Linked DNA regions of Schizosaccharomyces pombe. Changing the gene in region 3 together with the main gene of any one other region gives a genetic interaction. Each region holds a gene or a part of one and is shown on either strand. Other genes may lie near its edges.

Region 1 (7,063 bases), 1.5 Mb from region 3:
AGCATCTAGCAATTCCGGAGCCGCGTAAGTTGCAGTGCCTATATGCTGAGTCTCATCTTGCAGATTAGGCAAGTGGTTTCGTTCAAGAAAAGAAAGTGCGGTTTCTGTGTTTTTTTTATTTTCAACAACGAGTCCAAAATCACCAATCTTAGGAGTAATGTATTCTTTCAAATCGTTTTTATCATTATAACTAATTAAAGGAACAGACCCACGGTCCTCCGGTAAAGATTTAGCAAGAAATATATTGCTGGGTTTGATATCTCGATGGATCAAGTTCACACCTTCATGTACGTACATAACGCCATTAATTATCATTCGGAATAAATCCGTATGCAGTTGTATTTGTTCCTTACATAGTGGGAATGAAAGAAAATGGTTTCTTCTTATTAGATAGGACTCTAGATCATCAAAGCAAAGCTGCATTTGAATATAAATAATAAAAGAATGAGTGGGTCCAGTTTTAGATATGTGCATGCTACTAGAATAGTCGTCATCCAAGATGGTGGTATTATTAAAAGTAGAAACATTAGAGTCATGAAGATTACGAGGGCTTTCTAAATTCTCAAAGTTAGAAGATTCAGTAGTGCTTGAGTAGCTAGATTTTCTGGAAGTTGAAATGATCGACTCGGTGCCAGGATCTTCTGCAAATAGTATATCGTCTGTAAGGGCAGAAGATTCTGTTGGTTCAAAAATTATGGAGTCCATTCCGTTGACATCACAATAGCTTGAGGTTCCAAGTACTCTACTAGAATTTTTAGACATTACTATCGGCATTTGTGTTGCTTCTGTGGTGCTTTCTACCCAGCTCGAAAAGTATCGACTAAGCCGATGTTAGAAATAATAAAAGGAAGGCGATGAAAACAAGTCCTTCTGATGATGCTTACATAACATTTGGATGATCCATTTTTGCTAGACATTTGATTTCTCTAAATATTTTGGAATAAGACATTTGCTGAAATGTTGAATTAATTTTCTTCATTGCGTATTCAGCACCGTCAATCTTATTTCGTACGTGATATACTGATCCAAATCCACCTCTTCCTAGTAAAGAATACTCCTCAAAGTCCTCTATGTAACGAGAGTTTCTTGACTGTAACCAACTCTCAAGCGTAAGATCACGGAATCGGAACTGTCTTACATTTAATCCATCTACAGAGAATTTCGAAAGAGCAGTTTCTTGTGGAAATTTTTCAAATACATTGGTGGGATCGGGTAGTGCTAAAAGTCGCTCTTCAGCATCGTCGAGACGGATTGCCTCACGCGCTTGCAGAATCAAATGGTGTAAAGCATCCTGATAATTGGATCTAACGGCTGCAAGTTCTTCAATATATTCTTCTTCCAAAATACCTATTTTTTGAAGAGTATGGCAAATTAAAGCAAAAAGTCGTTTGGACTTGGCAGGATTATTGTCATACAGTTCTTTAATAAGTAAGCAAGTAGTTCACATGAAACGAGAGCTTAGACATACGACAAAAATTTTCCAACAAAGCAGTTAAAAGCATCCGCCCTAATAAATACATTAGCTTAGGTTGTCAATGACCAATATTTTTAGTTCGTCAACTGCTTTATACACACAGTTGTAATTAATTCCTACCATGTTTATTGACAGACAAATCCCTTGATTGTCTTTCATTTTTTAAACTTATTGCATTTGTTGTCTCTGAGTAATTCCCATCTTCCGCTGACTTGTGAGCGTTGAAAAATCGCATATTTGTGATGATGGAAGTGAAAAAGGCATTAAGAAAACAACCAGTTTTTTTCTGCACTTATCAAAATATTTGTCAAAATCCCGTTAATCGCAACCAGCTAATCTCGTATCTTACAATGGAAGGTTAGAGAATTGTTAATGGAAACTTTGTGGTTGACTTTTCAGATCATGAAAGTAACATTAGGAGAATTTAACTCTACAGCTAAAATACATGGTTTCTACTGACTATGGTCGTGTTAACGATAAGTATGTATTTGTACTGTTAAAAATTCAGATAAGTAATTATAATCAGTCTTCTTTTTTGAACTTCTTCATTCGTGAAAAAGCAAGTCAATTTTTAAATTAGCATCGTAAACAGTAAGCCAAAGATACATTTATAATCTAAATCAAAGCAAAAAGAATCCAGCTCGAAACTGAATTTATAAAACCAATTTGTTTAAAGAATTGATATATTTTATTACCAGATAAATGTTGTGGACAGAAATCATTTGAATTATTAATTCATTCATTAGTTTTACCTCAAGATAGTAAGAAGGAAAATTGAAGAGAACGAGCACTTCAAGCTAACTATTAAATTTAATTACATTAGCCAGCATGATGTGAGGAAAAAACATTTTGATTTGACACAATTTAATTTATCATTTCACATTCATAAACAATTCTTTAATTTTTATATTAAATTATACTAAGTAGTAAAGAGCACATGGAATCCGTTGTGGTCCAACGGCTAGGATTCGTCGCTTTCACCGACGCGGTCGGGGTTCGACTCCCCGCAACGGAGTTTTTTATTTTTTCTTAATTTTGATTTTTGATTTATCACTTACTGAATAATTCCAGTGTACTAAAATTTAATCTTCGGTTAAATTTTCTATGGAATGTGTATCTATATTACCCAAAATAATGCGCATTTTTTATAAACATTTGATTAACTGATAATGTATTCAAACTATATGCTTTTAGCAATGGAAATGACAGCAACTTATGCAGCGCAAATGAACCTAGAAAAGATTGAAAGCAAATAACAATTAACACTTAAAATCTAAAAAATTAATCTAAAAGGATTTATTATTTAAAACTTAATGACTGACTAAAATAATAAGTGAGGCATTTACCTGTCTCAACTCTTTTTGTGGGATTATACAACATGCAACTATAGGCATGAATTTAAAAAACTAATCCTTTTTCTCCTTTAAAGGTAAAACACGCTCTTTTACCCACCATTCATGCCATCTATTATCGGCGGTCAGCTCGGGGTGAAACGATGTACCTAAAAAGGGACCTTGCTCAACCGCAACAATCTCTTTGTTGCCTTCATGAACAATAGTAGCTAAAACATTAATATCATCAGACAGGATTGTCGAAGCGACTGGAGCACGAATAAAAGTGGCCGAAAAGGAATGTAAAGGTTCAGTGGCTTCAAATTGCATTGACTCTGTAACTGTAATATCAGTTGTAAAAGACATAGTTTGAGGTCCAAAATAATTACGAGTCACTTCAATATCCATGGCGCGCAACAAATAAGGATCTGGGAACTTTCCACCTCGAGACTTTTTCGACAGAAGAATCATACCAGCACACGTTCCCCAAATAGGAAGTCCTTGATCAACCAAGTGCTCCAAACGATCACGAAGCTTCTCATCAATGTTGATTAATTTGCCAATGGTAGTAGACTCACCTCCTGGGATAATTAAGCCATCAATATTTTCGCAATCCTTAGCAGTTTTAACAGGAAAAGAAATTACTCCATCAATGGAATTCATTATATTAATGTGTTCAATAAATGCTCCTTGGAGAGCTAAAACTCCAATTCTAGCCTTCAACTGGGATTCGTCCACAGCATTGGTTTTAAGACTCCCGAACATGGATGCAGAAGACATTTTTTTAAAGTTTTTAATCGACTAGAAACGAATAAAAAAACAAAGAAAGTTTGAAAGAACTAAGAAAAACAAACGAAAGATATCCTGAAACCTATTGAACAAGTAGATGCTGATGAAGATTGATACACCCCTTACTAATCAGCAATGAATCACTCAAACCGTTGAAGATGGGTATTAAAGGATTGTGTTGTCTATGTTTATACCTTAAAAAAATTAAATCAAACGTAACTAAGAGATCCACTTTAAGTAGTATACAATGTGTCTCAGTTCATTAAGGCGGTGGTGGCTATAGGATAATAACCCAATCAGACATACCGGGGGTCATTATATAAGTCTGGCAATGTGGAAGCGAAAAATTATCGCCAGAATCAAAGATGGCAATAAAGATAGAATTGGTGGAGCAACCTTGAATCATATCGCAAATGATTACGCTCCTTAATAAGCAATATCATTTGGTACACCCATCTTCATAAGCATAACAAAGGAGACCTTGCACATTGCTAGACTCAGTTTACAAAATCAAATGCGATACAGTATATCACATGCTTTGACTTCAGTCATTTCACTAAAAATTGACTATCTAGACTACCATAAAACAGTCAAATGCTTTCTATATTATCCACAAATTAGGATATCATCAAGCATTAATGAAAAAAAATGCTAATGTCAACACAACTCTACAGTTCACAATTGCTTACAGCATTAACTACTTACCTCACTTTTATTCTCAAAACCCCCAACCACTAATAACTACTTACTGAATTTTAAAGATAAAATTATTTAATTACCTTTCCCACTGTGTTAAAAGTTCAATACGCATAGCATCAGCAAGTCTTCAACCTCTCTTTCAGTGGGTTTAGCAACTGAAAAAATTTAAATAAACTGCTTACTTTCAACGATAACAATATTATCTTCACCACACACTATCAATGTACGAAGTTAAATATTTTCAAACCTCACATCCTAAACCATCCAATGTTGTCAAATTCATGCGTCACAAATCTGTCAACAGAAGAAGATTCGGCGTCGCTTGCCAGTAGTGCAATAGCAAGAACACCAGTGTCGGAAAGCATAGCAAGCCAGAGGCTTTCCAACTCAAACCAAAAACAAGATTAATCGGAAACACCTCAGTGAGGTGATTTCAGCGATTAAACTGAAAAGAACAGATACTACACTTGATCTAAGCCAAAAGGCAAAGAGAGAATACCGAACCAAATGCACGAGTACCTGTATATATAGTAAATCTCATAAATAAACCCGAACCCTGAGATTACTTCGCAGTCCCAATTTTGTGGTCGAGGCTGACAAACTTGTTACCAGAAGGATCATGGGCATGAAATTAACAAAAACGCTACTCATTATTATTATTTTTTTTTACACTAAAAATTTTCATACATTTTTTAAAACAATATGATATATATTTTTTTTTACAAAGTGTGAAACTTTGGAAATTTTTAGCATCTCTTTAAGCACTTTCCTTACCCTTCCGTAATACCAGCTTTATAACCAGCATCACCTACTTCACCACTTAACCGTAACCATAACACAAAAAGTATTTAAGAACAGGGTGACTTCCTTTTTTAACGTCTTTCAAGCACGTGTAAAAAACTAATATAAGAAAAAAAGTAGTAAAATTCTTATAAAGGAAACAGGGTAGTTTTCTAGTTTTGAAAAGTTTTTTTTTTTTTTCATTGTCGTTTTTCTTGTGATATGTCGGGAATCGCTGAATTCGATGGTATTTTAGATTCCCTTGAACATTCCAAGACAGGAATCTCGGGATCAAAAATTTTGAAATTGACTAACTTGTCGATGGAAAATGTTTCAGAGAATGCGCAATTTGTTGCTAGTGTGTATAAGTATGCGAAGCGTGCTCCCGTCACCCATAAATTAGGAGCTTTGTATATTCTAGACTCAATCGTTCGTAGCTTTCAGGACGGTGCTAAAAAGAATAATGAATCTTTTGAAAATCCCGTTGATGCGTCTTTTAGTGGCGGCTGGTGCAAAGCTGCTGAAATAACTGATAGTTTGGTCGCAGATGCTATACAGCATGCGCCATCTGCTCATTTGGTATGTGTAGCTGAAGTTTTTCAAGGTTGACTACGGATAAGATCCCGTATGGATAATCGTATGCTCTCTCTGCTTCTGTATCAGCGAGACACTGTATGAGAGAGGTATTTTTTCCTTGTAATACAGTATCATTCTCTTTGAGAAGTCTTTTAACATTATTGGACTAATTTGTAACTAACTAAGCATGTAGCCTAAAATATTAAAGCTTTGTGATATTTGGGAGAAGGCTTCAACATTTCCTCCCGAGAAGCTAGAATCGCTTCGTTCAAAGCTGAAAGATGCAATGGCAAGTACGGAACCGGTTAGTGTAGATTCTGCTGCTGCTCCATCACAGTCTACTAATCCCGAGGGGAATGGTGGTTCTGTTGGTAGTCAAGCAGCCGCCCCCACTTCTCGTCCTGTCGAAAACGATGCTGCTTCTATTCTAGAGGCATTGGCTGCTTTCGCTCAAAAGGCGCCCGTCCCTAGTGCTGCCGAAGAATCAGTTAGCACTCCACCGCAGCCTGCCGTCGCACCATCCGTTTCTGCTGTCGTCCCTAACCTACCTGTTCATCCAGCTACCGCCATTAATGCACAGTCTCAGTCAGGCAATCCATTATCAAACCCTCTATTCCAACCTTCAAATGTACCACAGTCTATTCCCTCTGGTCCCATGGGGATGAAGACAGGATCGGTCAATGATACCCAGAGTCAACAGATCACTCTCATGAATGTATTGGCTTCTCAGAATGTACCACCTGCACAAATCGATAGCATCATGAAAGCTGCTTTTCCCAACTATAACGCTCCATTCCAGCCGGCTGGTGTCGGCAGTGTTCCTTTGCCAGCTCCTACCTCTTCCCAATCCTTAAGACTCGGCTCCTTACATCGTTCTCGTAGCCCTAGTCCTCGTAGTGGTCGCCCTCGTCGTAGCCCTAGTCCTTCTCATTTATCCATTCCTTCTACTTTGCCTCCTGCAGATGGTGTGCCAAAACCTACCCCTGATGGATTTCCTCGCCGATTTGAGCGTGACCCAACCATTCCACCTGATTCTATTAAGGTATACAGCCGTACTCTTTTCCTTGGTGGTATTACTCGTTCTGTGCGAGAACCTGTTCTTCGATCTATGTTTGAACGATTTGGGTCTGTACAAAGTTTAATTTTAAATCATAATTACAGACACGGGTTCTTGAAAATGTTTCGTCGTGATGCTGCAGAGAAAGCTCAAGTAGCGATGGAAAATGTCCCTTTTGCTGATACTACTATTCGTACTAAATGGGGTGTAGGATTTGGACCTCGAGAGTGCTCTGACTTTTCCACAGGAATCAGCGTTATCCCAATCCGTTTGTTGACGGATGCCGATCGTACCTGGCTTGTAACTGCAGAATATGGCGGCACGGGTGGCCTTCCGATTACTCCTGGTATCGCTTTG
Region 2 (7,848 bases), 2.7 Mb from region 3:
TGAAAGCTATATCAAGGATTGTTGTGGTTTGTCACATTTTTGACGAGAATTATTTCATAAGGTTTATTTAAAAAGGAACTAGAAAGATTTGGATGAATTTGTTATGAAAAATAAAGCTTATGATTGTTTGTGGAACATCAATAAGGCACTTCAAAAGCACCGAATAACCTCAAAATCTAGCTCTTATCAATCTTAAAGGCAATTTTTTACTGTTTAAATCATCTTGAATATTTTCTTATATTTCCTTTCAACGATTTAGCATAGTTAATTATCATCACTCAACCAAATTTCTTTAGCATTATAAACAAGCCATTGCGAAGTGTGTTTTGTCCTTGGAATTTAATGGATTAACTGTTAGCATTTATTTTATTTTTTTCTAAATTTCTGAGTTTTCTTACTTTTGTTGTCTATAATGATCAAAACACAAGGTTTGAGTTAATATACTAATATTTTTCTTTTACCAATTTATACATTGTAATAAGATAGGTTGTAAGATTTAAAGCGAGCTTTTGATTTCAATTGAATACAAATTCGCCAAGCCGTTATAAATTTACATTTAAAGAAAACAGTTACATGGATTACTATCAATGAAATAGTAAAAAATACTCGATTGGAAAACTTGGCCTTTTGGAAAGCAATTTAATGCATTTTTTAATACATTTGCAAATAAGGATCAATAGCAAAATATAACGAATTTTAAAGATGCATAAGTATTCATCGCTAACTTTTGGTAGTCACGATAACTACTGGCGAAACAATTTTCTGACGCCCGCCAATATCGCTGGATCGAGGATTGTTCATTCACCTGCGTTCTGCGATTGTATTATTGAAAAAATGACGGACACTCATCCAGGAGTTGATTTTATGATCAAGCCTGAGGCTACTTCTGCTTCTAAAATTGATACCGCTGAGTGGCCATTGCTCTTGAAAAACTTTGACAAGTTGCTCGTTCGTACTGGTCATTATACACCTATTCCCTGTGGTAATAACCCTTTGAAACGTCCAATTGCGGAATATGTTTCTTCAGGTGTCATCAATTTAGACAAACCGGCTAATCCATCTTCTCATGAGGTTGTTGCCTGGGTTAAAAAAATTCTTCGTGTTGAAAAAACTGGTCACAGTGGAACTTTGGATCCCAAAGTTACCGGATGTTTGATCATTTGCAATGACAGAGCCACCCGTTTGGTCAAATCTCAGCAGAGTGCCGGTAAAGAGTACGTTTGCGTTTTACGTCTTCACGACTCAGTTGAGGGTGAGCGTAATGTTGCTTCTGCCATCGAGACTCTTACCGGTGCTTTGTTTCAGCGTCCTCCTTTAATTTCAGCTGTCAAGCGTCAGTTGCGTATTCGTAGTATCTATGAATCCAAGTTGATTGAGTTTGACAATGAGAGAAACCTTGCCGTTTTTTGGGCTAGCTGTGAAGCAGGTACTTACATGCGTACTCTTTGCGTACATCTCGGTCTTCTTCTTGGTGTTGGAGGCCATATGCAAGAACTTCGTCGTGTTCGTTCTGGTTGCCTTTCGGAAAATGATGATATTGTCACCATGCACGATGTCTTAGATGCTCAATGGATTTATGATAACACTCGTGATGAATCTTATTTACGTCGTGTTATCCGTCCATTGGAATCTCTCCTCGTAGGCTATAAGAGAATTGTGGTAAAGGATAGTGCCGTCAATGCCATTTGCTATGGTGCAAAACTTATGATACCTGGTTTACTTCGTTACGAAGCTGGTATTGAAGTTAACGAAGAGATTGTCCTTATTACTACCAAGGGTGAAGCTATCGCTGTGGGTATTGCACAAATGTCTACCGTCGAGCTTTCGACTTGTGATCATGGTGTTGTTGCCAAGGTTAAGCGTTGTATTATGGAGAGAGATGTGTATCCTAGACGTTGGGGTTTGGGCCCTCAAAGTATGAAAAAGAAAACTTTGAAGAAAGAAGGAAAACTTGATAAATACGGACGTCCTAATGAAAACACACCCGCGGATTGGTCTAAATCTTATATTGACTACTCTGATCCTAATGCAGAGGTTGCAAAGCCTGCTCCAGTTGTTGCGCCTGCAGCACCTACTGTTGAAGCTGAAGTCAATGGAGTCGAAGACAGCAAGAAGCGCAAATCGGTAGAATCATCTGAGAAGGATGAGGATGAAGCTGCTAAGAAAGAGGAAAAACGGCGGAAAAAGGAAGCTAAGAAGGAGAAGAAGGAAAAGAAGGAGAAAAAAGAAAAAAAGGAGAAGAAGAAGAAGTCTGAGTAAAATGCCCTAAATATCGTTCGTTTCTTCTACTGAATTTGGTCATTTTACAGTTTGGGTTTGTTATAAAGGGTTTTAAGCACAAAATCCCTTATTCCGAGATCCTATAAGTTTTTGAGATACCGTTTGAGGGTTAAGAAAGAAAGCGAAGTTTCAACCTTTTGCTTTTTTGACTTGTTGTTTTGGATATTAGCTTGTGAAAACTTAAATAATTTATCGCTATAGCCCTAATGACAATTACAATGCACATCCGCAGTTTCCTTAGAATTAAGCATGATTGTTTGATATTTAGCAATTCACTTTGTTTCCGATAGAAAGCGCATTGTCTTCGGCATTTGGATAATAATATTATCTTTTCTTTGAAAAGAATATGTTTATACTGTTTTCCTTTTAGTATTTTAGTATGTATATATTTGATCAAATTAATGTACTTAGATTGGTAATATGTGTATCTGAGCTTATTCCTCGTTATAGTATGTTAGGTACGAAGGCACTATAATGCCACACAGATTCTCGTGGACGACCATCTCGAAGCCATTGGATTTGGCTAAGTTCAGCTATTCCGTTGATCGTTTGCAATGTTTAGGTCACTGGCAAAGTTAAGATGCTTTGCCAGTTCGTTGGGATTATCTTCGCATAAAAATATCAAAAGTGTACCGTTGATTCGAAATATCCATTATATTCCTGATAATCCCTCTTATTTTACGCAAAACGCTAGGTTTAATGAAATCTATTTGCATTTGGAAAACATCCTTAAGTTTGCACCTAAAATCATAGCTGCTGAGGAAGACGTTCCGAAGTAAAGTGGAAAACGTTAGAGCAGTATCAAAAAGAGTTTTCTGATCCCAAAACAACTAAAGTTGGCTATCGAAAAATTACTCGTTTACTTAATGAATTAAACGAAATTGTTCCTGAGTATCGTACTGAAGCAGTGCAAAAAGCGCTTGAGAAGTTTATTCGCCCAGACATTGTCGTGAAAACCACATTAAAAAGCCAAATGCTTGATGAAAATGGAATGAGTATTACCAAAGGAAAAAGGAAATCGAGCAAAGCTACTGTAAAGATGCTTCCGGGAACCGGAAAATTTTATGTGAATGGGAGTCCATTTGATGTCTACTTTCAAAGAATGGTTCATCGAAAACACGCTGTTTATCCACTTGCGGCCTGCAATCGCTTAACAAATTACAATGTTTGGGCTACAGTCCATGGAGGCGGCCCAACTGGACAGTCTGGTGCTGTTCACGCTGCTATCTCGAAGTCTCTCATACTTCAAGAGCCTTCGTTGAAGCAGGTCATTAAAGACACGCACTGTGTTTTGAATGACAAACGGAAAGTCGAACGTAAGAAAACAGGTCAACCTAAAGCAAGGAAGAAATACACATGGGTCAAGCGTTAATTTATCTTTGTTTTTACAGATGTACGAATTAATCTATCTTTTTTATACAAAAGTTACACTTATCTGTCAGTCATTTCAAAAGTTCAGCATAAAATCTGATATTCTTATATAAGAATGCAAGTTATACGAGTTTCGGTCATTTCGTCTTCTACTACACAGCGAGGAAAAAACTTATGAGTTACTACTCTAATGTCATTAATACAATTTTTTTACAACTTTTTACAGTATATTTCAGAATAATGTTGATCTACCCTTTGCCATGAAATTTTGTATATGCACGCTTCTTCAAGCATTAGATCTGGATTAAACATATAAAATCTCAAAACAGAACCTGCTAACCAGAATAATTAAGGAAAGAATTTTAAGGTGACACAATGCATTTCTGATTTCTTCTAGTCGTTTCATTGAAAAGTAGAGCCCCTTTTTCATATTTATTTATGTATTGTTCTTATTTACTTTTCTAGTGTTTAGTTTGTTAACCAGAACAATCGGGTTGCCAGGACAACAACATTTTTTGTCCAATTTGAGCTCGTTATTTGTACATAAAATTTCAGGCCCTTTACAATTCTTTCTCTCCCAACATCTTAGTAGCTATGTCTGTAGGAACCGTTTACGGAAAAATTGGCTCTCCTCGCGTCCTTTTCTGTGTCAGCGTTGCCGCAGTCGCAGGTGTCGAGGTCGAACATGTTGATGTTCAACCTCACAACTTCCCTGCTGATCTCGCTGCGAAGTTCCCTTTGCAAAAGATGCCCGTCTTTGTTGGAAAGGATGGATTCCCTTTGTCTGAGACCCTTGCCATCGCTTTTTACTGTAAGTAGCAAAATCCTGTAAACTCCATGTTGACGATAATATCGTATGGTGCTTCGAACTTCTTCAGAGAGTAGTCAATGTTACGGTACTTTGTAACTTTGTATGATGATACTATTTTTTTTTACAGTTATCCCTGTCTAAAGCATAGTGTTGAGAATGGTAAATCTGAATAATCTTGTTAATATGAAGAAAGGAAAAAGCCCACGATATTAATTTATCCAAATAGATTTTTTGAATAACGAAATAATTTCTTTTGTTGATCATTGACCTGTTTTACTAATTGTCAATTTTAGTGGCATCTCTCAACAAGACTCGTGCTTTGAACGGTACTACTGCCGAAGAGAAGGCTAAAGTCCTCCAATACTGTTCTTTTACCAACAGTGAGCTCCCTGGCGCCTTTCGCCCTATAATTGCTCCCCGTGTCTTTGGCGCTCCCTATGATGAGCAAGCTGCTAAGGAAGCTGAAACTGCCATTGCTTTGATTTTCGCCCGTTTTGATGAGGAATTGGCTTCTAAGACCTACTTGGTTGGTTCTCGTCTTACTTTGGCTGATATCTTCTTTACATGCTTCTTGAAGTTCGGTGCTACCTACGTTCTTACCAAGTCTTATTTGGCCAAGTACACCCATATTTATCGTTATTACCAAACCATATACCACCAAGCTAAGTTGGATGCCATTACTGAACCTCTTAAATTTATTGACCAACCTCTTCCTATTATAAAGGCTGAGAATAAGGAGGCTGCTCCTGCTAAGAAGGCCGAAAAGAAGAAGGATGAGAAGAAGAAGAATGCTCCCAAACCTCAAGCCGAGGCTCCCGCTAAGCCCCCCAAGCACCCCCTTGCTTCTGCTCCTAATGGATCTTTTGACATCGAAGAGTACAAGCGTGTCTACAGTAACCAAGACACTCGTAGTGGAGCTCTTCCTTGGTTCTTTGAGCACTTTGATCCCGAGAACTACTCCGTTTGGAAGGTTGATTACAGCTACCCCGAAGATTTGAAGCAACCAGTCTTCATGACCAACAATCTTATTGGTGGTTTCTTCCAACGTTTAGAAGCTTCTCGTAAGTACATCTTTGGATGCTGCGTAGTTATTGGCGAGAACGGTGACAACACCATTACTGGTGCTTTTGTCATTAAGGGACATGACTATGTTCCTGCTTTTGATGTTGCTCCAGATTGGGGATCTTATACCTTCACCAAGCTCGACATTAACAAGCCCGAGGACAAGGCTTTCATTGAAGACGCTTGGGCCTGGGACAAGCCTATTGAGGGACGTGAGGTCGCTGACGGCAAGGTCTGCAAGTAAAAATGTTTGGGTGAAATGGATAAGGTAGGTTTGTTGGGAAGGCAATCCCTATTGTTTATTGATAATTCCAAGATTGAGTTTGTTTTAGCCTTAGAAAATGATTGATTTTACATTTCAAAAAGAGTAGACATTGTGTATGTTTGCTTATTTTTTGAATTCCTCCCTTTTTTTTCAATTCTCAAATGTGTATAAGGTTTGCTATTTGTGAAAAATCGTTAGCTCGCTTTATTGTAAATAAAGTCCACGTATGTTTGACCATAGTAGTATTCGTTTCCAAAGCAGTTCTTGGAATTTTAGTAGACGGCTAGGCGATTGTTTGTACATGCATTGCAAAGTGCACCACCCATCGTCAGCAATATTTGCAGTCGTTCTTGATATTTCCAGCTAAAGCATAACTGCATCAATATATCAGTCGGTTAGATACATGTAGCGTCTACCATGCACAGAAGCAGTTGATCTGCAAATCCGACCAATATCAAGTTATGGGCTAAGTGAAAATTACAAACTCAAAGGTGAGCACAAGTGAAGCAAATGAAACCAAGCTAGTCGATGCAAGTGAAGTTCATTTCTTTTCTTTGCACAAGAATTGATTTTGCGTAAAAATAACGATCTCACTGCTACACAATGAACCTGTCTTTTTACGAAGTTTGCGGCTACAGCGTTCCAATCAGCGGTGAAATAATTCACCCAAAAAGATGCAATTTTTAGCGTAGTGATTGAATATGAGAAATCGACGTTTACATCAACATGAGGTAAATAGATAGCGTAGTAGTGGTTGAGAGGGTATTTCTACGCTCGATCCTTCCTATATATTAAGCAGGACCATGTTGTTGCGATTCTTTATTAACCAACCACGATTCATACAATTCACATTTCTACGAAATAAAAAAGACAGGATTCTAGGGCTGCAATTAGGAAAACAACCGTTCAGAATGAGTAGTAGTTCAGGCTTAAAGCAGCAAGGGCTTGCACAAAAGAAGAAATTTCAGCTGGAGTTTGACCCTTCGTCTGTTTCGAAAAATGGAACGAAAACAGAAGCCAAGGTGGTTGGTACGGAATTTGGCGTATTACTAGTTCGTGCTCGAAACACCTACTTTGCGACGGCTGGAAAGTGCAGCCATTATGGTGCTCCCTTAGCCAAAGGTGTGGTTACGTCGGACGGCCATATTGTGTGTCCTTGGCACGGTGCCTGTTTCAATGCAGCAACTGGAGACGTGGAAGACACGCCTGCCATTGCTGCGTTACGTACCTTTCCTGTTACTGAGGAGGGCGATGGTAGCCTCTGGATTGAAGTGGAGGACAAGAACGACAATGGTGCCTCTGTTTTGCAACCTGAAGGCTGCTGGAGAAATAAGGCCACCGAAGTGTACAACAAGGGTAGCGTTGAGACTGAAGTGACGGCGCCTCACGTCTGTATTATCGGCGGTGGAAAGGGTGCCTCAGTTGCAGCAGAATACCTTCGCGAGAAGAACTTCAAAGGAAAGATTACCATCTTTACCCGGGAAGACGAAGTCCCCTACGATCGTCCTAAACTATCTAAATCCTTACTTCATGACATTTCCAAACTTGCTTTACGTTCTAAAGAATACTATGATGATCTTGATATATCTTTCCATTTCAACACTGACGTTACCAAGATTGATTTGGCCGAGAAAAAAATTTACTGTGGTTCAGATGAAAAGCCCACAGAGTCATATACGAAGTTGATTTTGGCTACTGGAGGCGAGCCGAACAAACTCCCTATTCCTGGCTTGGATTCGAAGAATGTATACCTGTTGCGCTCTATCGCCGATGCATCCAAACTCGCTGCCGTCACTACCGAAGCTGGTGACAAAAAGAACATTGTCATTATTGGAAGTAGCTTCATTGGTTTGGAGCTCGCAGTCGTGCTGAAAGACCATAATGTCTCGGTGATTGGAATGGAGTCGATTCCCTTTGAAAAGGTTATGGGTAAAGAAGTTGGTACTGCACTTAAAGCTTTGCACGAGCAAAATGGTATCGCCTTTTACTTGGAGAACAGCATTAAAGAGGTGAAGACTTCTTCCAATGACTCATCTAAAGCCGAACACATTGTGTTGAA
Region 3 (7,961 bases):
TGATACGCAACGTAGTGTATCATAGCGTAGTGTAGTATTACTGACACTTTATTCTTTTTTGTGAGCTACGGCTATAATACGTTAAAATGTGAAGCGAAAAGAGATTAATGAAAATTAACAAAGAAACACCAACTAATAATTTTTTATTATATTGAAAATGAAATGGATACAAATTTAAACTTCTCTCCTTCTCAGTCAAATGATCTGTCTACATCATCAGGATATGAAAATGTTTTATCTCATTTTAAGCAGGCAGCTTTGAGCGTTACTCAATTATATCAAGCGTCTACTACTGAAGTTTTAAAAGCACAAAAAGCTGGGTACAATCAGGCTCTTCGGGAGGTTCTTGAACTTATTGAATCAGGTGCCAGTATTGACTTTATTTCACAGTATTGCCTCGAGAAGCTCGCTTCTAGCGATAACGATTCCTCCGTTCACAACCATCACGACAATTCTGTCTTAAGAAATGAAGATACACAACTACAGCCTCATATTGTATGCAATAGAACTGTACGCGCCGGTCGCCCAGTCTTGGATGAGGATGACGAGGAAATGAACATTGCTACCCCACATAAACGCAGAGTTTACGACTTGAATTCTAGCTGGATGAAACGTGGACGAAGGTGATAAGTTATTCTTATTGTACTACCGATATGTCCAACTAATTAAAAAAAGCACCTATGTCTGTTTTGCATTATAATTTATTTCAGAATCTACGAGTATATCAAACAGTCTCTTTTTTATCAAAAGTCCCGCACTTTTCTTTGACACTTTTCATACATTTGATGTAAAGTTCATTAAAAAGAAAAAGATGAGTATCTGGCTAACGTTGAAAAGCATAAAAGCTGCTATCATTTATTGTGGGATTTTTCAAAACCTTTACAAAGGTATGACTGCTAAAGCCATCGAGATTCCTTTTCAAAACGTATTTTAAGTTTCAAAAGTAATGTTGGAATTGGGTTTTTGGCATATTAAGAAAAATACTTAAGACATATGACTTATATCTCATTTTCAATATAGGGGACTCAACGAACAACCTAAGCGCGTTCATATGCATTGCGACTGCAACATGAGGAACAAGAGGAATCCGAGTCCGAATCACTATCTGAATCGGATGAACTTTCATCAAACTTTCTCTGTTTGTGAAAGATACAGCACACTAGTAATATTTAGCATCACATCATGTTAAATCCTTTAATTTTCTATGTTCGTGTATCAAGCCTCTAGTGCTTTGATAAATCAAAGATAAAGAATGTAGATATGTATAAATAGACTCATACTGTCCAATTTTTAAAATCAATATAAGTCTGAAAGTTGTGCTTGTTGCCAAAGGATGGAACAAGGCCTATTCTCTTCTTCGTAAAATCACCAGAACTTCACTTACCTTTCGATTTCTTTTTATTCATATGCTCATTATCTACAGTGCTTACCGTCCATCTAACTCTTCTGACTGGTTCCGGTTGTAAATGGAGCACATTCTCAGATTCTTCATGGCTTATTGACGCGGATTCCTCCGTACTTTCAATGGTAACTGTAGCTGATGAGGAGATATCACCTAACGGTCTTGTGAGTTCCATGGGAATTGTCAAGATTACGTTGAGTGATAAAACACGAAGTTCACTGTTTTATAAGTGAACCTTCAGTTTCGTTAACCAACTCTTCCTCTCAAGCAATTGCTTCAAGAAAAACAATTTTAGTGTAATTATTATAAAATTCCTCTGTTGTTTGAAAGACGATGGCGAAGAGTGGTGTGCACTTCAAGATGCTTGCTATTCTCTAATAGGATATTCTTCTATTCCTTTTTCTTCACTATATAAGATTGTGAGAAATCGTTACTGCGTTATATCTCCCTTAGGTTACATCTCCCTTGATGACGAAACCAAATATTGTTTTCCTAAAAACCTTCAGCTGCCTATTTCAACTTATTTGGTAAAGAGAATTAATAGACACCTACCATTTTATATTAAATTAGAGTCCTAAATTATGATAACATTCTGTAATGGTTGAATCTCAATGGGTATAATATTTCATTGCTATTGCTGTCGTTAATAAATACACTACCTACTAAACATGAAGTACAAAGAAATAATAAGTTCACATTTTAGGGAGTAGCGAACAAAATATCATTATTGCTAACCCTAAGAATCAAGTTAAAATCAAAAATCCGTCAACCAGAATACATTAGCAAACATGTTCCGTATACAAAACTTCGTTTGGTTTAAGGATTTTCAGCACTTGCTGTCATCCAAACAAAAAATTTCCGAGCCACATTAAAATTGGAACCTTTTTAAAGCATTCAAAATGTTTTCGCCAACTGCTTATTTTGACTAACAGTAATTCTCATATACAATCTCGTTTACATAGGATTGCTTAAACGACCAACCAACTGTGGGTACTTTTCAGTCAAGGCAATTTGCGTACGAGTAGCCTCAGCATATGAAAACGCATTCACCATTTCACTTTCAGTACGAGCCAGTTGTGCAGATTTCTCGAAATATTCAAGGGCTTCACGAGCTTTACCTTGTTGCAATAGGAATTGAGCCATACTGGCAATTGCAATATCACATTCGGGATCAGCCGATAGAGCCTGTCGACAAAGATTTTCAGCTTGAGATATATCTTTCTTCCATTGGAATACAGCAAGAGCCTTATTAATCAAAGGCATTGCACTCATAATTGTTAGATGTTCTCTCTTCTCAAGCTCAATTGCATGATCAAAGTTCTTGACAGCATCATCGAACTTTTGTTGATCTAAGAGTATTTCACCAAAGTAATTATAAACTTCGCTTGAATTAGGGAACCTCTTTTTACAATCTTCAAATGTCTTCATTGATTCCGCAATTGCATGAGTCTTATATTGAGCTACTCCAAGTTGGATATGGCTATAAATAAAAGAGTCATCCAATGCAATAGACTTTTGATAATCAGAAATGGCTTCTGCAAACTCACCAGAAACAAACCTAACTTGTGCACGATGATAATAAAGATCCGAATCGGTTTTATCAACAGATTCTGCATCATTCAGTACCTTCCACATTTTTTCATTATCATTTTCATCTAAATAAGCGGCTGAGAGACGAATATATGGTTGAATGAACTTGCGATCTAATTTAATAGCTGCATTAAAATTTTCCATCGAACCTTTAGAGTCACCAGATACAAATTTAAAAGTACCAACTAGATTATGAGTGCGAGCATTAACCGAAGGAGATGAGAAAGATCCCAGACAGGATTCCTTTGCTTTATCGTACGAAAGTTGATATTCACCCTTTTCTAAATATTCATAAGCCTCTGCTAAAGCAGCATCACCGTCAAATTTATTATCAAACAAAGGTTTTGGTTGAGCATGGAATGAATCGAGATAAGTCTGGATAAAGCTGGCAGCTGGCAATTTAGGAGGACGTTCCTTTAAAAGAGCAGACGACTTCTTTTCAGCAACCTTTTTTAACAATCGTTCAACGGTAGCAGTCATACTCTCATTAGCGAAGCCATCGAAAATGCAGGAAACGGTACTATCCATAAGGGCTTCATCCAATTTACCAAGTTGCTCATAAGCAGCAGAACGACGATTTAACGCTTTCACATAGCTTGAATCAAGTGAAAGAGCTTCACTTGTATCCTTAATTACTTGCTCAAAATCACCGATGGCTGCATAACAGGCTGCACGATTAGAGAAGAAAATAGGGTCATGAGAGCAGGTGATAGCCTGAGTATAATAGTCAATAGCATTAGCATATTCCTTTTGTCCATAAGCCTTATTACCAAGAGTCTTTAACTCGGCAGCCAATTTTGCCCTTTCCTCCTTCGTCATAGATTTTACCGATTCCTCAGTAGCAATTTTATCGACAGAAGAATCGCCGACCTTCTTGGCTTTAACCTTTTTTTTATTCTTCTTCTTCTTTTTTGCAGCAGCAGCAGCAGCGGCTGCTGTTTCAACATCCTTTCCAGTTTCTGAGCTTTTAAGATCCTCTTCTTTTACGACCTTTGCAGCTTCATTTTTTCCTTCATTAACTTTGGATTCAGCCTTATCTTGATGAGCCTTAAGTTTTTTAGAACGTTTATGACTAGCTTTTTTCTGTTGTACATGATAAACACCCCCAACTGTAGCAAAAACGGCAACAGCACCAATAGTGTAAACAAATGTCCTATGGCGCCTTACAAATGCTGAAACGGAATTTAAAACTCCAGAAGACACAATTGCCTTACCATTTTCTGCATTGGATATACCAGACATGGTATTGGTTTTGGCTAGGTTGGTACCGATTCATGACCACTATACTTCAGCAAAGTGAATGCTACCTTATTGCATTGCTAACGAACTGCAAAGCACATTCATTGACAAAGGTTAAGGAACTAAAACTTGATTACGAAGTGATAGAAAACAAAAAAAGAAACGGTGAACAGCAGTTTAATAGGAGCTATTATTATGAAATGGTGATAATTTGCACAGGTGCTAGTTTTATTAATTCTACTCAATTCCGCATCAAGTAGGAATTTAAAAAAAACTGCTCCAGCAGTGACTTGAACACTGGGCCTCTTGCTTACTAGGCAAGCGCTCTACCACTGAGCTACAAGAGCTGATGTTATCCCCGTATAAAATACAATATATAGAGAGCGTAGTAAAGAAGTTTACCTTAAACAATGAAACGTATTGACTGTATTTGTTAATTACACAATGCACTTCTTTTGGATTCTGATTATCTAGAGCCCTTTTATTTGTCTTTAAAAAGATTTGTTAACTTGATTGTAGGTTGAACTATGTTTTGAATACAATTGAAGAGTTGCGACCAAAATCTATTACAGTTGTTGCCTGTATCTTATAAGCTATCTATTATTTAAAGCATGGTTTCTTAAGTTGTAAATGACATTTGGAAATGACTATTCATGTTTTGAAGTTTAGCATCAACGTATGGTGTTTAGGTTGTCTAAAAATTTAGTTAAGAGGAAATTTGGCATCGCTGTCCCCTAAGGATGAATAAGCTATGCAAATCCATGTAAAGTAATGATGATATTCAGCTTTCATGTATTCCTCATTTCAATAGATCCAAACTTATTTGAAGCTGTTTTTTTATTTGTCTTTCTCGCCAGCTTCAATATTGAAGGTTCGATTTTTTTTGTACTTCTTCTTTCCTTACGTCCTCATGATATTCGTATATCAAAACGTTCCAGTCTTAGATTTAATGTTGGACGAATGCCTACGTAAAAATATAAAACGTTTATCGTTCGATAGTAACTAATTTGATTTTACCCGAAGATTAAGAACAAGAAATATATGATTCATTCAAACTTTTATATTTCCAAAATTTTTTTAACAGGATACCACAAACTCATGATGTATTATTTCATTTAAATCTCAAAAACCCACAAAATCTATTTCCAGGTTTTATTGAATGCATGATTTATTAAATATATATACCTCTTTAACATTCATTGAAAAAGTGTATATCCTATTAAGGAAGATCAGAAAGTATGTGTTTTTTTAAATACAACAGCAAAGTTCCGATTGACAAATTATATGTTAGCTTCTGTGACGCCGAAATTTACGTTTTTTTAATTTGTAAGAGGAATAATTCTGGCTTACTTGTTTTCCAATAACAAGCCCGTTTCTCATAATCTTTTTATTTTGTCGTTCACTCTGCAGATCTAAAAATGGTGACGAATCTTTGCTAGCAGTTGTATCTTCATTGTCGTCAATGCCATTTTCCGCATCTTCGTCTATTTCAGGAAGACCTTCTAAATGACTTTTGGAAAGATTCATTGAAGGGGGCACTAAAACGTTAGTTCAGGTACAAACAGGAGAAAACCTTACATTTAACAAGACGATTTTGTCGTTTAATTTTTTTCTTCATAGGTTGTGATATGTCTCTATCTACAAGGCTTTCTGAAGATGAGCTACTAAAGCTTTCAAACTCCTGCAATATCTTCTCTTCATTTGATCCGTAATCATCTTCAATATCTTTTAACTCACGAAGCATTTCACTGAGACTTTTTCGGCATGGCGCATTAACTCGAAGTAAGTTAGGAGATGTATAAACTTGAAGGCGATATGAAGAGGGGGTTTCAAGAACGGTGGGAGTATGTTGAGCCACAGGTTCGGGATTTTTTGATGGAGTAGTCGGTATCATAGTTGATGAAATTTCACTAGTGTTATGTTTTATATCCGAAATTTGATCCACATGAGAATCTGCAATGGGAGACATGTCTTCAAGAAGGTTAAGTACTCGACGTGACAACTGTGGAGTAGGACCTAAAAGACTTTTATCCACAGTTTTCGGAGTAACCTGTAGATAATCATTTCGGGGCGCTTTAGGACTCTCGTTCGCTTCAGTTTCAGCACGCTGTTTTGTAGGAGTTTGAAACTTAAAGTCGACCTTTGTTTTTGCTTTTTTAGGGGTAATGGAGGATTCGCGTTTCAACTCGTAGTATTGCTTATATAAAAGCGCTAAAAAAGTTCGTTAGTTTGCTTCAAAAATTCAAGTGTATCTTTGGCTTACATACCTATTTCTGGTTGTTTCTTCACATCCTCCTTAGAAGGTTTGCAATTGTTCGTATGGACGTACTCATGTTCCCACTTCTTTAAGAGCGCTTTTATACTAGATATTTGTTTAGTTCGTGATTCATCGTGCATGATTTGCCAATTAATGCACTGCCTGGACCCAATTTCAATTTTGTAGTGTTCGATTCAAACAACTGCAAAAACAAACTCAAAACAAAAAGAGAGGCTAATCTACATAAACATATATTTCTTCTAATTCTATATGTGGAGAAATACCATTGCACAGAGTTTGATACGTATCTCGAAATGCAAAGTTGAAATGTTAATTATGCTTTAAAAGTAAAGTAGATGCACTAATGAATGCTCCATTTTACTGCTGAATGTTTACGCATACGTTAAGCAGTTTTTTAAATTTAAATAACGTATAACGTTTAAGTACGCTGTCGTTTCCTTTTGATTTATGGTTGAGCTGTATGTAAATAACCTTTGTTTTTAGCTAAACTTATTACAATATGACTGTTCAAATCGATGAATTGGACGACAAAGATTTGGATGAGATAATTGCAAACGGAACACTTGATGGCGCGTAAGTGTGAATACTGAACAATCTTAACTATGGACTCGATTGAGCCTCTAAAATAATGAAAATTCTCTAACAATTTTCTTATAGTAAACAGGGAGCTGTGGATTCAGAGACGATGATTCAATATTATCGCCATCTTTTTCCGTGGAAATATTTATTTCAATGGTTAAATCATGGTCCGGTAGTCACTAATGATTTTGCTCATCGGGAGTTCGCGTTCACACTTCCTAATGATGCTTATATTCGTTATTTATCTTTTTCAAATTGGGAAGAGTTAAAAAAGGAAGCTTTAAATTTATGCCCAAGCCGATTTGAAGTTGGACCCGTTTATAGTGCCAATCCCAGGGACAGGAAAACAATAAGGAAGTCAACATTTCATCCGCTTAAAAAGGAACTCGTTTTTGATATAGATATGACTGACTACGATGATGTACGAACCTGCTGCTCAAAAACAAATATATGCGAAAAATGCTGGCCATTTATTACGATCGCAGTTCAAGTTTTAGATATTTGTTTTCATGAGGACTTTGGATTTAAACACATATTGTGGGTATACTCTGGTCGAAGAGGTATTCACGCTTGGATTTGTGACGAAATTGCTTGTTCTTTAGACGATCGGTCTCGTAGAATGATTGCCAGTTATTTACAGGTTGTAGTAGGTAATCCTCAAGGTGGCGTACGACTTATTAATAACTTAAAAAGACCCCTTCACCCACATTTGACTCGTTCTCTCAACATTCTCAAATCGGCCTTTGTAAAAATTGTCCTTGAAGACCAAGATCCGTGGGCTTCTAAAGAAGGAGCCGAAAACCTTTTGAAATTACTACCAGACAAGGATTTAGCATCTGCTCTTCGTAAAAAATGGGAGGTTGATCCTGAACG
Region 4 (7,819 bases), on a different chromosome or scaffold from region 3:
GGAAGGGAGAAGGTGTTAATAAGGTTGTTCAAGCCTTCCTTGGTAAATTGGTATCGAGGGTAAAAGGGGCCCAAAGAATCTTCAAGGAAAAGAGCCGATAAAATGGCAGGAGCACCATGGCCAGGGCCTACGACAAAGAGCATGTTGAGATCATATTTATTAATGATACGATTACAGTGAGAGTAAACGATGCTCAAGCCGGGACAAGTACCCCAATGGCCTAGCAGTCTAGTTTTGATATCTTTTTCCTCGAGGTCACCGCCGGTGTAGAGACCGTTGGAAAGGAAAATCAGGGAAGCTGCGAGGTAATCACATGCACGTTGAAAACGATGGACATTGGCAACCTCTTCGTCGGTAATCTTTGAAGTGTCGATTTTAGCTTCGAGGGTTTTTAAAGAGTCAGGAAGACGCGAGGGCATAGCAGGAGGATCGGGGTGTTTTTCGGCAATTTCAACTTGTTTCGCTAAATCCTCGGGAGTCGAGTTAGGGATATCGTTTTGAGTAGCCATATTGAAGAGGAATGTTTTTATAATCTAAAATCAATTAAACGGAGTTTGAAACAGTTTGTGAATAAATGGAAATTCGTCAAGTCGTAAATGATAAATATTCGTGAAATAAGCACACATACACACAGAGTATATAGGAAGGAGGAATGCTAGTAAACTAGGAAATCAAGTTTTACCTAGTACAAATGAGGAAAGTCGTAACAATAATAAACCAAAAGTAAATAAAAAATAAATAAGGAATAAGAAGATATGGTGATGTAAAAAGAAGAATAGAAGGGCAATTATTAATCAATGAATAGGAGTGGAATGAAATTCAAAAAAATAAAAGAAAAATAGAATTCTCACCAAATAAAATAATACTTTGTTAATTAATTCTAAATTATCCTTTATTTTATTTTATTTTATTTTTATAATAATTCAATTCCGATTTAATTTCCTTTCCTTTCCTTTTGTTCGTAACCAAACTTGAGTTGATGATTCTATTTATCAAAAAAAGCAAGCGTCGTAGCACATGGATCGCGAGGACACACACGCATATATATATTAATTTCTGTATCATTCCATTAACAGTTGCAAATAACTTATCATGATCATAAACTAGTTTCAACACTTCACAAACACATCATCATCCTTGTTTTCATTAAACCACGTATCCGATCTTACGTAAAAGGGTCGATTGCGTAAAGTAGGAGTGAACGCAAGATGTATCACGAAGTGAACGAGATTAAGTAAAAAAAAGAAATAAGAAAAAAAAATTATGAAAGAAAACATTTATGAGTCAAAGAAAGAGAGAAAAAAAAAAAAAAACTGTTAGTCATGAAGCGAACATTGAAGAAATGGATAGCGAAAATGGAGAATAACAATGCCAAAAAGGTGAATTCTTATAAATATGTAAACATTTATTGATTTGATTTCATAAAAAGTTACTTTTCCTTGAAACCCTCCCTTTTCTACACTTACTTACCTGTGATGTTCCTTGTGAGTCTATTGTCCATTGCTATTTATTTGACTCTTTCTTTACCTTGTAACCATTGATTTCTTCTCGCCATGCTATAGAGCATTATAATGTACTGTATTATACTATATTACATAACAATACCGCACTGCATAATACTTGGCAGGCAACGTTGATTTGCACTAAATGCCATTGTAACCGAAAACTGGACACCCTAAAAGAGCACTATGATCCATTTTAGCAACTGAGCTCATGGTGACGCAAAGTGCTGAAATCGACTGAATTCGCTCAAGACCGATCGATGTGCTATGAAGGTTGGAAAAGGTAAGAAAGGACGTTGGATTTCGATTATGTCAGATGCCAGCACGGGCCCTTTTTTGAAATTTTCAATTTCGCATCTTCACGTGGCAGCGCAGCGCTGTGTAGCTGGAGGAAGAAAGGAAGGAAGGACAAGAGAAAAGGCAATGCGAGAGCAGTAGACGATGAAGAAGAAGAACAGACGGGTGAAACAATTGTCATGAAGATGTAAAGAAAAGAAGGAGCTGAGAATGTAGAGAAATGTGCCAATGTCAGATGATTTGCGATTTGTTTGGCTAAAAGTATAGAAGAAAACGAGGTTAGGGTTATGGGGTTACGGTTATTGAAGGTTAAAGAAATATGAATGGGAAGAATTGTTTTGGATGCATTTCGTATTAGATTGTATGTATATGTAAATAAATAGATATCTTTAAATAGATAATTAAAATAATCATTACTTTTCTTTGCTTTGTTTTAATAAAAGCTGATTTGTTTGAAAACACGTTCATGCAGTCATCATATGGAAAAAAATTAGTAAGAGAAAATAAGTAAGAACAAATTAAATAAAAAAAAAATAAGAACAAAATAAAATTAAAATAAAATAAATTAAATTCACATTATAAAAAAATAACCTTCAAACTTCTCTCTACAATGAACGATGTTTTTTCTTTTTCTCTTCTTCTTACCTTCCTTATCCTTTCTCTACTTCCAACAATGCAACAATTCGCTTCCTAAACTGTAAAATTTTTAGGTTCGTCCCCTTCGGATTACTCTTTTCAATTTTCAGAAACTTTACACTCCGTAAAGGTTCAAAACTGTGTCATTGCATGGTTTGCGATGCATTGGTTTATCTCTCATCATTTCATCTCTTGAATTTACCTACTTGCTCCCATGTTTACCGAATAGTCAGCGTAGGTGATTGCTAAGGATAGCGAAATGAAAACGTCAATCCACTATATCAGCTACGCAGTTTGGTATTTGTTTAAGGATACGTAGAGCTGCGGTGAGTTTTCCTTGTGATCTATTATATTACAATACACAGGTTGTATAAGTAGCAACTGGATATAGGTATTGTATTAACTAGGTTATGATGTTACCTATCACTGATATAGCTTATAACTAAACTGAGGAACGAGGTTCAGTTGGAACTCTATTTATAATATTTCTAAATAGTTGTTATCAGCGAGTATGTGTATAGACAGATAGTTACCCGTGATTATCAATAAACGGATCTTAGCTAGTATTCCAACATATGACATATAGTGATACGCAACGTACTATATTATAGCGTAGTGTAGAATTGCTGACACACTAACGGTTTTTGCAAATCATGTTGCTTTTCATTATTACAGTTAGCAATCATTTAGATGTCACATACGGCAATGCTGTCATATGTAAAGCAAGCAGCCACTCTTTAGGAAAACAATCGCTGGTAGGAGTGTGCAAGCAGCAAACCATTCTTGTAACCGTTAAATGATCGTTTTTATTGGTTTCAAGTAAATCTTTCCATTCAATTTTTCCTTTTTTTTTTAGTTCTTCCCCCCTTTACAACCAGGATTTTCATTTTTGGTTGGAAACTAATCCGTTAGATTACTCGATTGGTACATTTTAACTATTATTCGTAAAACTCATCACCAAACGGCCTTGTTGAAATTTATTATTCAAGCTTTGTTACGAACTCATGGCTGGTAACGGCGCATTACGAAGAAGTGCTCGAGAAAAATGCTGGGAAGCCAGAGATGCTTACTTTGGTTGTTTGGATAGGCATTCCATTTTGGATGGATTGAAAGATGATACAAAAGCAGCCCAGGCTTGTTCCGCTGAAAAAACCGCTTTCGAAACTGATTGCGTAAAATCTTGGGTATGAATCGCCAAAATTGTAAATGAAATCTGGCTGGTATGAAATGAAACGAGAAATTCCGATTTTGCAATTCTCTTGAATTATTACCTTAAAGATCTCCATTACTTCTTTTTTTCTTTCTCACTAACATTGTTTTTCTGGATTAGGTCAATTACTTTCTAAAGTTTCGAGTTCAACAGCATCAGCAACAAGAAGCTATCAAAAAACTCGAGGCTCAAGGCGCAAAAAAGTTGAATTAGCTGTTCCTGAATACTCTCATACAATCTCATTGCATCTAGGTTTCCCCCATCCTAATATGTTTTCATTTTTATGCTTAAGTACTTATTACTCATCTTCAACTTTGGCAAATCAAACAAAGCGGTATTTTTTTTTTCCTGCCCTTCCTCTGTTTACTCTGTTCTTTCATTTTTGATGGTGAAATTTTTAACTGAACCCTTTCAAAAGAAAGTTTTGTGTTTACGAATAATCACCTATTTTTTCAAAGACGACGATGAATCTAAATTACGTTGTCTAACTTGCACATTTACGATCACCGAAAGTTACAGAAAATGTTAGATGATTGATAGGGGTATTATTAATTAAGCATTCCTATATTAGTTTATGCCATTCTTCACGTTTGTTATTTAAAAATTTTCTTCACTTCTTCTTTTGCAATGGATATGTCTAACTAGAGATTTTCTATTCATTGATATGAAAATTGCAGTGTTTAAACTTTTAGCATTTTCTTTGCATTCCAAAGAAATTTCTCCAAGTTTTATCAATTTTCTGCAAGAAGTAATACGCCAAAACTGGCTTTTCAAAAAACAACAGACTGGCAAAAGGAGAGAGAAAGTATTAAAAAAAAGAGTGGAAAGGAGATTGGTTAAAATTTGCAATTCTTTTTGGTTGATCTGACAATAAATGAAGGAAACGAGTGAGGTGCTTTAAAAAAATAAAAAGTTTTTCAGTAGTAGAATAAAAATTATTGAGCGGTTCCTAATGACTTCATCTCTTGTTGAAGCCACGGTACTTCTAAAACACGTATGGCAACATCTGTAGTACGTGCATCTTCCATGTTGCTGCTTTTTGAGTGAGAAATTAAGACATTATTGACCGCGTCGACTATACACTTAGTTTTGTAATGAGGTGGATGGCGCACCTGTGTATTTTCAAGCAAAGGAATCAAAACTTGCAAATATGCATACCGAAGATCCGAAAGCTCATCGGGAATATTGTTTATTTCGCGTATGAATATATCAATTAGGACATTGAGATCATTGGTATAGAATATCTCATACGTAGCGGGAGTTGTAAAAAGAAGGAATAGTTGTTTTAGTATTAACATTCGAGAGCGTGGATCCTTTTCTCGATTTAGAGTGAAAACTAGGCCTTCACTGTAGATACCGTTATCCACTTTGGAAGAGCTCAGCAAATCCATTATGCCATTTGCGATTTCAAACGAACCTTTGGAAGCAAGCCGAACAAGCATAAACTGTTCATTGATGCTAAGCAATGTCAAGACGCACATTCCAAAACTGTCCATGTCCTCATCATTCCAAGCTTCTTCCGACGTTTTGAATAGGTTTACTAAAAAATATTCATCAATTGCGACTAAGTCGGTCGGTGAAAGTCGTCTCGAGCGACAAATATAGTACACTAAGAATAAAGCATAACGAAAAGATGTAAAAGCAACATTTTCTGAACGATCCTTGAACTGTTTCATTGCCTTGATCAAGACGGGAATGAACCCCGTAGAAGCCAACAAACGCAAGCAGTACTCATTCTCTTGAATTTCGGATTGAAAGACAATGATTATGAATTTCAAAGTTTGTTGTTCTTTCAAGAAAAAAAAGCAATCATAGAAAATACTTAAAACGGCGTTTTCGTCTAGTTGATAAAGCGGACTATTGAGGAACTTTTCCATACATCTCTGCAATTGGAATTCTGTAATTAGGTACGGTTCTATTGAATTTATTTTGTTAGATAAGATGTTCTATAAAGAGACAAACACTCAATTTCTTTGTATTTCATCCATAGGAAAAACACGGAAAATTGTGCTTCCCCAATTCTCCAAAACATTACCTCCATATTTGTTGATAAAAGAAAGAAACTTTGAAACACCAATTTCCAGTTCATTTTTTTCGTATGGTATAGTTAAAAGTTCGTCAATTTCTGTCACCAAATGTTAGCGTCAACGGGAATACTATTTAGCCAGGATAATGAATCCCAGGCACATTCAAGTTTACAATTATGAATAAATTGCATACCCGCCAAAAATTGCTTTTCATTCTCTAAATTATAAAACACATCCGTGAACTCCATGTGGAGGTTAGGGAAGGTTTAATTGCCGCTTTCTCATTATCGAGCCTAGTATTCAATAGACAAAATTCTCGCTAATATCCATCGATAATCAACTTTAATATATGATTAGTAGTCAACACAACAGAGCGTCAATGTTATACCATGAAAACAGTATTGTAGTATTATAGTATACAAATGCATCTGGTTCCCTTTTGGCCATATGTTAAGGTATAAAATATAGTGGAGACACAAATTCAAAAATTCTCAATTATCCTCAATTGAAGAGGCTATAATTTAATTAACGGAGAAAAAACTTAGTTTCTATAGTTAAGAATATCTTGCAACAGTTTCAATCGCGGCAGTCTATTTTACAAGGAATTTACACTGGATTCTCACAAATCCAACTTGCCCATAAGTACACTACCACCAAATAAGTAAAAGGATAAAAACTACCCATCACTAGATTTCATTTTATCGGTTTCTTTATATTTAATCTCTTTAAAGCAAGCATTCCTTATTCTGTGTTGGTTTATTGAAGAAAAGTCGTAGTTTGCTTAAAAAATATTCTGTTATCATGCCTCGTCTTCGAACGTCAAGAACCAAGCGGTATGTATACCAAGTATTTTCCTTGTTACCTTTATTTTTACCTACGAAGTAAGATTCTAATTAGCTATAGCCCTCCTGACGGATTTGATGAAATAGAACCCACCCTTATTGAATTCCAAGATCGTATGCGTCAAATTGAGAATACAATGGGAAAGGGAACTAAGACGGAAATGCTAGCACCGATTTTTCAACTTCATCATCAGCGCAGTCGTTATATATACGATTTATACTACAAACGGGAAGCCATATCTACCGAACTTTACAACTGGCTGCTAAAACAAAATTATGCCGATGGAAATTTAATCGCCAAATGGAAAAAACCAGGATACGAGAAACTTTGTTGTCTGCGCTGTATTCAAACCGCTGAGTCAAAATTTGGTTCAACGTGTATATGTCGTGTACCTAAATCAAAACTTGATAAAGATCAACGTGTGAGATGTACTCATTGTGGTAAGTAAAGAAGTGCTATTGCTACCAGTTGCTAATGAAAATAGGTTGTAATGGTTGTGCAAGCTGTGATTAATTGGAAAACTAGTGGTTCGTTTCCCATTTATATCTTTTTATTTGGTTATTATGGCAAATGAAACAGTTTTGGGTTATAAAATTCATTGATCTATGGCTTTTCCTCGTTTTAGTAAAAAATTATTTTATTCATAAAATGCGCTTCCAAAAAACATGTACCTTGGTTGAATTCTTTCAATTAGTACCTTGCTCACATTCTTCATGAGGAAACCTCATTTGTGGATACCCTGGATTGTAGCCAGTTGTTGGAATTGATTTGCTGTGCGAATGAGCCGATGACTTTTTGAAATTGGTCCATCATTTGTTGCTGAGTCATTTCTGGTTTGACGTTGCTACGCCATTGTCTCATTATATCACGTACAATTGCCATACCTTCTTTTTTAGATTTCACTTCTTGAGTATCCCCTTGGGCTCCAGAGTCTTCAGCTTCTAATTCTGCGGCTTTGTTGCTTGCCATTTCAATAATCTTGGGAGGGAAGTGCGCAAGTTTAGCAACATGGATTCCAAAACTCCGATCACTAGCTCCTTCACAAACATTATAGAGTAAAGCTACATCCTTCGATTCTGAATCACCTACATAGGCTGTAACATGCAAATTTTTGACAGTAGTGATTTCTTCTGATAGTTTGGTCATTTCATGATAATGTGTTGCGAAAAGGCAAAAGCAACCGATTTGAGTCACGATGTGTTCTGTAATAGCCCACGCTAATCCAAAACCATCGGTTGTGCTAGTCCCTCGTCCTAATTCATCAATGATGATTAAGGATCGCGGTGTGGCAGCTCTCAAAATCG

Evidence for each region.
Region 1: mutations in tom70 (region 3) and sno1 together harm fitness less than expected from each alone (positive genetic interaction), as found in Schizosaccharomyces pombe (one large-scale study listed by BioGRID).
Region 2: mutations in tom70 (region 3) and SPOM_SPAC29A4.02C together harm fitness less than expected from each alone (positive genetic interaction), as found in Schizosaccharomyces pombe (one large-scale study listed by BioGRID).
Region 4: mutations in tom70 (region 3) and dip1 together harm fitness more than expected from each alone (negative genetic interaction), as found in Schizosaccharomyces pombe (one large-scale study listed by BioGRID).

What each region holds. Positions count from the first base shown.
Region 1 is NC_003424.3:954,766-961,828, forward strand, and holds sno1 (glutamine aminotransferase subunit), read right to left. Parts: upstream 3,881-7,063; 5' UTR 3,586-3,880; coding exon 2,881-3,585; 3' UTR 2,602-2,880; downstream 1-2,601. Other genes in the region: eIF2 alpha kinase Hri2, read right to left, coding at 1-820, 885-1,419, 1,469-1,507, 1,595-1,709; poly(A)site selection protein Seb1, read left to right, coding at 5,296-5,652, 5,843-7,063.
Region 2 is NC_003424.3:5,139,573-5,147,420, forward strand, and holds SPOM_SPAC29A4.02C (translation elongation factor EF-1 gamma subunit), read left to right. Parts: upstream 1-4,230; 5' UTR 4,231-4,245; coding exon 4,246-4,462; intron 4,463-4,560; exon of another isoform or gene 4,561-4,634; intron 4,635-4,755; coding exon 4,756-5,768; 3' UTR 5,769-5,943; downstream 5,944-7,848. Other genes in the region: pseudouridylate synthase Cbf5, read left to right, coding at 835-2,259; aif1 (flavoprotein), read left to right, coding at 6,701-7,848. UniProt on the Schizosaccharomyces pombe protein: Probably plays a role in anchoring the complex to other cellular components.
Region 3 is NC_003424.3:2,429,665-2,437,625, reverse strand, and holds tom70 (TOM complex subunit Tom70), read right to left. Parts: upstream 4,247-7,961; 5' UTR 4,235-4,246; coding exon 2,357-4,234; 3' UTR 2,003-2,356; downstream 1-2,002. Other genes in the region: SPOM_SPAC6B12.14C (uncharacterized protein), read left to right, coding at 163-627; SPOM_SPAC6B12.13 (protein phosphatase inhibitor), read right to left, coding at 1,038-1,159, 1,385-1,577; drc1 (DNA replication preinitiation complex assembly protein), read right to left, coding at 5,519-5,769, 5,810-6,442, 6,499-6,628; DNA primase catalytic subunit Spp1, read left to right, coding at 7,009-7,082, 7,167-7,961.
Region 4 is NC_003423.3:2,337,231-2,345,049, forward strand, and holds dip1 (endocytosis protein Dip1), read right to left. Parts: upstream 5,941-7,819; 5' UTR 5,921-5,940; coding exon 5,866-5,920; intron 5,771-5,865; coding exon 5,681-5,770; intron 5,561-5,680; coding exon 4,581-5,560; 3' UTR 4,172-4,580; downstream 1-4,171. Other genes in the region: SPOM_SPBC24C6.09C (phosphoketolase family protein), read right to left, coding at 1-509; coa6 (cytochrome c oxidase subunit VIb related protein), read left to right, coding at 3,440-3,619, 3,766-3,858; cwf14 (G10 protein), read left to right, coding at 6,474-6,505, 6,576-6,955, 7,000-7,028; msh2 (DNA mismatch repair protein), read right to left, coding at 7,227-7,819.